2 linked regions of the Ovis aries genome follow. The protein of the gene in region 2 purifies or fractionates together with the protein of the main gene of each other region. This does not show direct contact. Links are inferred from orthologs where the notes say so. Each region holds a gene or a part of one and is shown on either strand. Other genes may lie near its edges.

Region 1 (4,735 bases), on a different chromosome or scaffold from region 2:
TTCCCTTCCCCAGGGGATCTTCCCAACCTAGGGATTGAACACAGGTCTCTTGCATTGCAGGCAGATTCTTTACTGTCTGAGGCACCATGGAAGCCCATTAGTTTGCTTACAGATTGGAAATCTGAGTCAGAGATGTCAACTAGCTTGCTCAAGGTCACACAGGTAGTAAGTTCCCCACTAGATAGCTACACAAGGTTAGGGACTATGCAAGGTTTACTTATGGTATTCATTTGTTTAACAGATATTATTATTTAGTATGTGCCATGTAGGCACTGGCCCATGTTTCTGCTCTCATGAAGCATTCTTACAGTGGGAAACAAACCAAACAAGCAAACACATATGTGAATGACATGATTTCAGATAGTGAGCCTTGAAGATAAGAAGACAGAATGGTGTGCTGAGATGTACGGTGCTGGTAAGCTACTTTAAACGACTTGGTGGTCTAGGAAGGCTTCCCTCAGGAAGGCATCTATCTATAGATGGAGTGCTCCATAAATGTTTCTTGATTTAATACACTACCCCCCCCCAAAAAAAATACACTACCTCGAGTATAAATGTCAAGAGAGAGAGGGACTTCATCTGCCTTGTCCGCCATGGTATCCGCTAGCACCTTTATCTGGTGTTGACATAGAGCGAGCCCATTTCTTTGAGTAAATGTATAAATACTATTGGCTGCGCTTCCCTCGTGGCTCAGAGGTTAAAGTATCTGCCTCCAATGCGGGAGACCTGGGTTCGATCCCTGGGTCAGGAATATCCCCTGGAGAAGGAAATGGCAACCCACTCCAGTATTCTTGCCTGGAGAATCCCATGGATGGAGGAGCCTTGTAGGCTACAGTCCACGGGGTCGCAAAGAGTCGGACACGACTGAGCGACTTCACCTTCACAAATACTATTATCTCTTCATTCATTCATTTAATCAAACCAATGGTTTTCAATGAGAGCATTTGTGTGCCTTTTAGTAATGTCCAGTTTTCAGTGTCCTTAAATATCAACTAAATTTCCAGGAAGACCACAACCTTGTAAATAGAGGGATGATTGTATCTTGTTTTATTGAAGCTTTTCCAAAATTTGTTCATCTTTCCAGAGCATTTCATCACCCACGGGTACTACTGCAGGAGGAGCTGTCGTGTTCCCGATGCAAGGTCCCAGTAATCTAAAAGCTTCTTTATTTGGGCCCAATCATGTACATGGAGCACCTATTATGTAACTATAATTTACTTTATATCATCTTTATTTTACACTTCGGCAAGACACTGATTACAAACATGATGCGCGCGAGTGGGTGACATTATCCTTGCGTTCTAGTAGCAGATGAGCGGGTGGTTTACACTGCAGCCTTCCGTAGGGAAAGCGGCGCTTGGGTCCGGCCGAGGCCCTAGCGGAGCGGTCCTCCGAGCGCCAGGGGTCGCTGTGGCGCCGAGCGGCCGCGCCGGGACGCTCTCGTGTGGCCGCCCCGCCTCGGGCCCCAGGGCCGAGTGGGCGGGCACGACTGCGCCCAGGTCGCGAGGCGCCCTTCGACCAGCAGCGCCCGGGGCGGGCGGGTATAAATGGAGCGGTGGCTCCCCCGGCCGCCTCTCTCCGCCCCGGGTCGCCGCAGCCTCCACGACTTTCGGGCCTAGTAGCCTGAAGAAAAAAATAAAAGAAAAAAAAACCCGAAAACGCTTTAAAATTAAAAAAAAAAAAAGAGAGAAAGAAAAAGAAAAAAACGAATCCTCTTCGGAGAAACCGCGGGGAAGTCACTTTCGCACGCTTCCGGCCTGCCCGCCGCTCCGCACCTGGGCGTCTGTCGGTCCCCGTCCGTCGGTCCGGTGGTGAGCCGCCCGCGCGCCCGCGTCCACGCGCCGCCGCCCGGTTGCGCCGCGTGGCAGCCCCGCGCCCGCCGCCCTCGCCCCCCGCGCGCCGGCCTCCCCACACCACGTGTCCGCGCTGCCCTTCGCCGGCCCGGCGTGGGAGGCGGCTGCGCGCTCCGGCCGCCCGGGGCTTGCCGAGTCGGCACCGACAAATATTTGGTTTCCCTCTTCCCCGGGCTGCTGTAATCTTAAACCGCCGGGAGCCCGAGGCCTATATTTATAGAGAAACGCGCGTCCCGGAGGCCGCCGTGGGCACCGCTGGGTTGCCTCTGGAAATTTTTTTGTCATTCGGAGGGGAGTCCCCGTTTTAATTTTTTTCCTTTTTTTTGAAATTGGGAGCTTCAGACCAGGACAGCTGAAAAATCAAAAACTCCCAGGGAGGGCCATATTGTTTTTGAGAGCCTTTTGTCTGCGGTTTGGCAGTCTCGTCCGAGCCGTCCCCGAACTCCTCTCCGGCCCTCGGAGCCGACTGCCAGCTTCTCCGAGCTTCACTGCCACCTGTGAGCCGCGGCGTGGGCCACGGCTCCGAGCGGAGCCCCCTTTGTCCTGTGCGGTCCCTCTTAAGAAGTCCTCCTGGCGGGGCTCGGGGTGGTGGGGGCTGGGGAGATGAACGCTGCGGCCAGCAGCTACCCCATGGCCTCCCTGTACGTGGGTGACCTGCACTCGGACGTCACCGAGGCCATGCTGTACGAAAAGTTCAGTCCTGCGGGGCCTGTGCTGTCCATCCGGGTCTGCCGTGATATGATCACCCGCCGCTCCCTGGGTTATGCCTACGTCAACTTCCAGCAACCGGCTGACGGTGAGTACGAGCAGTGGCCACAAACCTGTGGGCTCCCAGGAGACCCTGGGGTCCTTCTCCAGGTGGGTCCCCACCCCCGGGGAGAGGCATGCGAGAGCGCACAGAAGCCTTAGTAGGGGACGGGATGCGGGGGTTGAGATCCTGGGATCCTGGCATCAGATGACCAGAGTTTCAGTCTTGCTTCCACCACTTTCTAACTGGGTGACCTTGGGCTAATCAGTGGTGGGAGGAGGGGGTGTTGGAGCCCAAGGAGGACCAGAAGGAAGTTGCTGTCATTCCGTGTGGGGGTAGCGGGGCTGCTCTGTTAAGAGAGCCTTAGGTGGCCAGGGGCTCCGGCCCCTCACAGGCTTGAGGAAAAGTTAGGATGATTGAAACACAATTTATTCCAAAATTTTACATGGCAAAACTGCTGTCCCCTCCCCTCACTTGACCCTAAGCTTAAAGAGTCTTTGGTTTTGTGCTGATGGATCTTTCAGGGGCAGGTAGGGAGCAGGGGAACAATTCTGTGTGTTGAGCTTGAGCCGGCACTTGTGTTAGCACAACCAGAGTGTGTGGTGCCAGGCCAGCTCCCTGGGCTTTGGAGCAGGTTGCGCAGGTAGTCAGGGAGGCGCCCCTTGGAAATCCACTAGGCTGTTGGGGATTATCACCTCACCTGTGGACAGTGCTTTACACTTGTCAAAAACCCTTTCACTTCATCTCATCTGAAAAAGATAGGACCTCCGAAGAGGAAAAGGAACTGCGAGAGGCTGGAGGCTAAGCTGGGACTGTGGGTGCCGTGCCCTGCAGGCCTGGCCTGAGTGGGGCCCAAAGAAACCTAATCGGGGGCTGCACGTGACTCCAGAACAGAAGGGGACAGCCGTAGAGACAGACCATTGCTGGGAGAACGAGCTGTCCTGTGGCAGAGGGTCTCGGGTCCCTACTTTTTCCCCCACTTGGTCCACTGTCCGTGAAACCCACAGAATGTCACTTGCCCAGGATGCAGCTGAGACCAGATAAGTGGACTTGAGAGACACGGCACTGCTCCGGTCAGCTCAGCGGGCTCTGGGTTTTTTCTGGCCACAGGGCACAAGGAAGTAGCTGAGTGTGGCCTTTTTAGGGGGGAGTAGTGGGCCCATTGGCTCTTGTCAGCCTCCTTGACTCTTCTGAACAAAAGTCCTGTCACTTAGAGATAGTAGCACAAGCCATTGGTTAGTGTGTCTGCCAACACATACCTCTGCAGGACCTCTCCCTGCTATAAATAAGTGCAGCCAGATTTGTCAGACTAAGCCGACTTGCCTTGTGCAGTGCTGTCTGGAAATAGACAGGAGCCGTGTTGAAACGGGCTTCTTCCTTGCTAATTCATGAAACACAGTTTGGGGTCGCAGGCTGTGGATCAGAGTCCTCAGAAGTGAGCCCTTCGGTCCTGGACATTTGCTGACTTGGACATGCCGTCTCCCCTTTCCCTGACCACCTTCCCTTATACTGAACGAATCTAGCTGAGAACAGTGGGAAAGGTGGTTGGAAGTACTGAAAAGGAGCTACTCTGCTGGCTGACTGGACAGATGAGCTTGTGGAGGGGAAGGCTTAGGGATCTTGTCCCTATTTTAAGTGAGATGGTGCCTTGAGGCAGGGGTAACACCCCCTGCCCCTGTCCTTTCCTGGAGGAGATTCTGGGTGATGTCAGTGCGTAAGTCAGGAAAAGTGGGTCTGAACCGGTTTACTGCCGGTAAAGAGAAGTGTTCTGCTGACAGATGTTGTATACCTGGGTTTGGTTGAGAAGTGAAGGGAGATCCCAGAGCACCAGGTTGAGAACTTGATTGGGCACTGGGACATCTGAAATTCCTGGAATTCCTCGGAACTCAGATGGAGGCTTGATAGCCTAGAAACCATTAGGTGCAGGGCCTGACTGCTCTGGCGGCTTAGGCGGCAAGGTGTTGAGGTTTCATCCTGCTCATTCTGATAATACAAAGGACATTTCCATGTGTGACCATCATTTTGATAATTAAGGTTTTTTGTCTGAATTTTCCCAGAAATTAAAAATACAGGAAACTGGGCTGAATTCAGAGAGCACGTTTTCCCCAGTGATCGTTCACAGGATTTTTTTAGT
Region 2 (4,734 bases):
TTATCCTCATTTGTCTACCAGGGAAGGGGCTCCAGTGAAGTGCTGAGAGCTGGCCAAGGTGTGGACACCACGTTATGGAAGAGTTGGGACCACACATCAGATTGTCTGGTTGTCCCCACCAGCACCTCTCCCCAGTGGTCCTGGTTACAACCACCCTACAACTAACCTCACCCCTTGGGGGCAGTTTCAAAAGGCTGATTTTCAATAAGCCTTCTTTGTCCAGCAGGTCATGTGTTCTAATTCTTTTGGAGATGGCTAACACTCTTGGCTGTTATGTCTTGAGCAGGTGATATCATAGCCAGCCAGAGGCCAGGACTCCTCCAAGTGAAGTGTGGGACCACAAGCACCAACAGGGTTCTTGCTAAACATGTAGTTTCTTGGTCCAATCCCAGACATACCTGATTCCAAATACTTTGGAATCTGCATTCAAGGTTTTCCCTCATCATCCAAACTAAAGTAACTGATCTAGTGACCTACTGCGGTAGTAGCTACTGTCTTCATAGATATGAGACAAGCTCTTGTTCATAAGTTTGTTTTACTCTTTCTCCACCTCAGAATGCAAATTCCATGAGGTCCTTGCAAGCCTTGTTTTTTCCAAGCCTTGTCCCTAGAAACCCCCCACAGTAAATATTTAATTGAATGTGCACTAAAATTTGAAACCACTGTCTTCATTTTATAATAGGGAAACTGAGACCCAACTAATGCAGAGTTGGTAAGGGGCAGGACCAGGGTCAGGATAAAATCTCGGATCTCGAGAGTTCCAATTCGGCGTTGGTTCGTCTCTGGCCCAAGCAATTCTTATAAAAACTGAAGTCCATTTGAGGGAGGGGGAAAAAAAAAAAAAGACATTTCTCGCCCATAAATACTAAGTTTCAGGGCTTGGCCGGGTTGGGGGCTGTTGGTAATTTCCTGCTCACTTCCGAGACGCCCGATGCCCCCAAGGGTTAAAGACCCGTCTTCTAGGCCAGGTGTCCGCACAGTGACCTGGCCAGGGCTGCCTGGGAGGAGCCGAGCACAGTCCGCGGAGGTGAGGCCGGCTCACCCAAGGTCACCCAGGCGGGGCCTGGAGGGGCCAGGCCTATGGCACGCAAGTAAGGCGACAGCACCCCCACCCCATCATCCTGTAAGCTTAGGGTGATATTAATGGCTCTTTCCCCAGATTCTGGCGCACCCAGCCTAAAGAGCAGGAGCAGGCCCCGCCAGCCGCGTGGCGCGGTCCCATGTGCTCCACCTGCGGACGCTCTCACGCGCTGGCTCTTTAAGACACTTCCCCCTCTTTATACCACCCGGTCTCTCCTACCCGGCTTGCTGACCGCCCCCCCTTCCGAATTGTATCAGGCACGTGCTCGCCCCGGTCCGGTTTGAGTACCCCTCACCCACCAGCCGGGGAGGTGCACCGAGGAATCGGAGGCCAGGGGCGGGACCAGGGGCGGGGCCGCGAGGCCCTGCGCGCGCGCTCCCGCCGCCTTCGCCCGCCCGTCGCCCAGGGCCAGCCCCGGCGGGCGCGCCCCCGTTGCGCCGTCCCCTCCCCTTGCCCGCTGCGTCGCGAGGCGCGCGCCCGCCCGCCGCCTGCCGCGGATCGCGTGGTCAGCTCGGCTCGCCGCGCCTCTCCCCCGTCCGTCCATATTGCTGCAGCCCCCGTGCCGGGAAGCCCGGGCCGCCCCGGGGGCGGGGGGGAGGGAGGGACGGGACGAGAAGCCTGCCAGGCTCCGGGTGGGGGCTCCTTGCGAGGAACGGGCGGGGGGGGACGCGCGCCGAGGAGGCCTGGACCGCAGAGTGGGGGGCCTTCCTCCCCCCCCCCCCCCGCCCCGCCAGCGGGCCTTGGATCTACGGCGGCTGCATCCGACCGGGAGGGGGGGCCGTGCCTAGCGTGAACCCCGACCCTTCTCCGCCGGGACTGGGGCCCAGCGCCCCGGAGGAAGGCGTCGCGGGCTCTCTGAGAGCCAAGTTCGAGGCGGGGGAGGCAGCCTCGGGCGCGCCCGGCTTCTCCGGGGGGGCGGGCGCGCAGATGGCCACTCAGGTGGAGCCGCTGCTGCCGGGGGGCGCCCCGCTCTTGCAGGCCGAAGATCACGGGGGTCTGGTGAGGAAGAAGCCGCTGCCGCCGCCCGAGGGCAAGGGCGAGCCGGGGGCGAACGACGTCGGAGGCGGGGAGCCGGACGGCGGCACCCGAAGACCTCGGCCGCCCTGCGCCAAGCAGCACAGGGAAGGCACCGGGCAGCTGGAGCGCGAGAGCCCGCGGCCGCCGCAGCCGCCCGGCGCCGAGGGCCTGGCCGTCAGCGACGGGGAGGAGGGCGGCGGCGGCGAGCCGGGCGCTGGCGGAGGAGCTGCTGGAGCCGCGGGCGCCGGGCGCCGAGACTTCGTGGAGGCCCCTCCGCCCAAGGTGAACCCGTGGACTAAGAACGCGCTGCCACCGGTCCTGGCCACCGTGAACGGACAGTCTCCTCCAGGTGGGTCTCCGTTTGGTATTCCGGGACCGGGGGCCTCTTCCGGGGACATAGGCGTCCCCTCCCCCAGCGGCCTCCAGGGCCCGGGGGTCCGCCGCAGTGGGTCGTGGTGACTCGGGTTTTTTTTTTTTTTTTCCATTATCCTGGCTAATTCAGGTCGCCGTGCCCTGCCCCCCCCCCCCCCCCCCCCCCCCCCACCCCAGCACACTCGGGAACCTGCCCCTGCCGCAGGGCCCGGCCTCCAGGAGGCTACGGCCACCGCCTGGGCCGCAGCGGTTAGTGGGCAACGGCGTGGTCCCGGCCTATCTCGCGGGGAGAGGGGCGGGCGCTGGTTTCGGTGAAAGGGGCCCTCCCCCCCGCCCCCACCGCGTGTCTGTGTGAGAGACGGTTTCTTGCCTGAACCTTCCTCGGGAAGCCCCCTCCGCCCCCCCGCCCCGTGTTCCTCGTTTTGGTAGCGTTGCTATCGTCCCCGTGTTGTAAATGTTTAATGAGTATATGTCATAGGCAGCAAAACGCCCGGCGATGAGTGCATACCGACCACACAGATTCGGGATTTAAAAGTTAACAAGTTTGTTCTCGAGTAGATGGTGTTAGGCGGTAGAATGGCCGTGGGCGACGGCTCGAGGGGTCGGTTACGGGGAGAATGGGGAGAAGAGGAAACCCAACGTGTCATTGAATTCGGTGCTTTCCCTCGCCTGATCCTGGGGACCTTCCGCCTTGTGAGGGAGCCGGATGGCGAGTGTGCGGGGCGTCCAGTGAGGGGAAATGTGAGGCGAGTAAGGGGGCATGCAGCGACTCGAGGGGCGTGTGGCGGCGGGGGAGGGAGTGGCCGGGCCAGGCCGGACGGGCGGGTGACAGTTGGGCGCCATGCGCCGCGCCGCCGGCCCGCGGGCTGCTCGCGGCCGCTCGGCCTGGGCGTTCGGCGGTCGCCGCGGCGCTCGGGGCGGAAGGCGGGTGCGGGCGGCGCGGTCGGGAGTGTGCGTGTGCGCGGGTGTGAGTGCGCGTCCCCCCTTCCCGGCATTCCTCCGCAGCCGGGACAACGTGGTGCCTCCCCGCGCGGCTGGCGGCATGTGACCGCCGAGCGGCGCGCCCTCCCTCTCCCTCCTCGACTTCTTTGGGTCCTTTCGGACCCGGCCTCTCGGGGGAGGTGGGTGTGCGGGAAGTCCCCGCAGAGCCTTGTTGGTGGGGGAAGGAGGGTAAGGAATATGGAGTCTCCGCCAGGCCTTCCTTTGCCGAAAATAGATCTTCGCCTTTGGTGGGGGGCGCGCCCGCCCTGCTCCCTTTGCCGGCCCGTAGAGACACCCTGGGGCTGGATTCTTGGGTTCAGGATCTTCTTGCAGTGAGCCGGTATTAAAACCCAATTGGAGCTACTACGATGGCCTGTGGCCATAGCCCTACGGCTTTTTCAGAACTCCTCCCCTTCTGCTTGAGACTGACTGGTTTAAACCATCAAAATGAAAAAAAAAAAAAAAAACCATCAAAATGGGGAAAGTTGAAAGGGCAGCTTAATGCTTTCACATTCAAGGGAATAGAATCCCTCGTAGTCCCAGGGAAACCAGAACACCGAATTCTGAAAATGGCATGTTGTAATTTTTATTTCTTTATAAGATTGCTTCATTTGGGGGAGGGGACCTTTGGCTTTTACTAATAGTACCTCAAACCGTGTTCTCTTCCTTTTGCCCTCCTCCCCTTCCCCCCCTTTTCCTTCCAGAACCCTCTTATGCAAAGGGCAGTGCTGAAATCTCCATTTTCTTGCAAATCTCTCCTGATCCACCCACGGAGGGAGGAAAAGCAATTTGAAGATACTCTTTGGTCCTTCCCCCCTCTTTAAACTCAGGGTATAATCATCCGGAGGAGAGAGCACTCCTCAGAAGTTTAAATGGGGCTACTCACTCTGGCTGCTGCTGCTCTGCTAATGGTGAACCTGCCTTGTGGGTTTTAAATCAGCCATGACATCAGGTGGTGTTGGATGTCTGAGCTGGCATTTTGTGCAAGTCTAGGGGCCCTTGGTAGGGTGCGTCACCGGGGTTATTGATCGTGGGAAGAAGACAGCTTGGCTGGCATCTCGCCTTTACGTCTGAATAGAAAAGCCAACTTGCTTTAAGTGCCCAAAGCAAAATTCTAAGTCCAGTAGACTTACTCTGTTCTTGTTAGGCGAGGAAGTGTCTGGTCTGCTCATTAGTATTGAACCTTCAGAATAGTCTTCGACAGACAAATCTGAATTAATCCAGTAGCTTCTCTGTTTAAGCCTGTTGTTAGGGCTTGAATGTGTTTTGAAGGAGAATTTTGT

Evidence for each region. Proteins that work in one complex are often made in the same cells at the same time.
Region 1: the proteins of LARP1 (region 2) and PABPC4 purify together in Homo sapiens (affinity purification with mass spectrometry; 3 studies listed by BioGRID and IntAct, with this or other methods). This does not show direct contact. The link is inferred for Ovis aries from reciprocal best matches to the Homo sapiens genes LARP1 and PABPC4.

Annotation. Positions count from the first base shown.
Region 1 is NC_056054.1:14,216,577-14,221,311, reverse strand, and holds the start of PABPC4 (polyadenylate-binding protein 4), read left to right. Parts: upstream 1-1,572; 5' UTR 1,573-2,456; coding exon 2,457-2,649; intron 2,650-4,735.
Region 2 is NC_056058.1:63,733,727-63,738,460, forward strand, and holds the start of LARP1 (la-related protein 1), read left to right. Parts: upstream 1-1,567; 5' UTR 1,568-2,008; coding exon 2,009-2,447; intron 2,448-4,734. UniProt on the Homo sapiens protein: RNA-binding protein that regulates the translation of specific target mRNA species downstream of the mTORC1 complex, in function of growth signals and nutrient availability.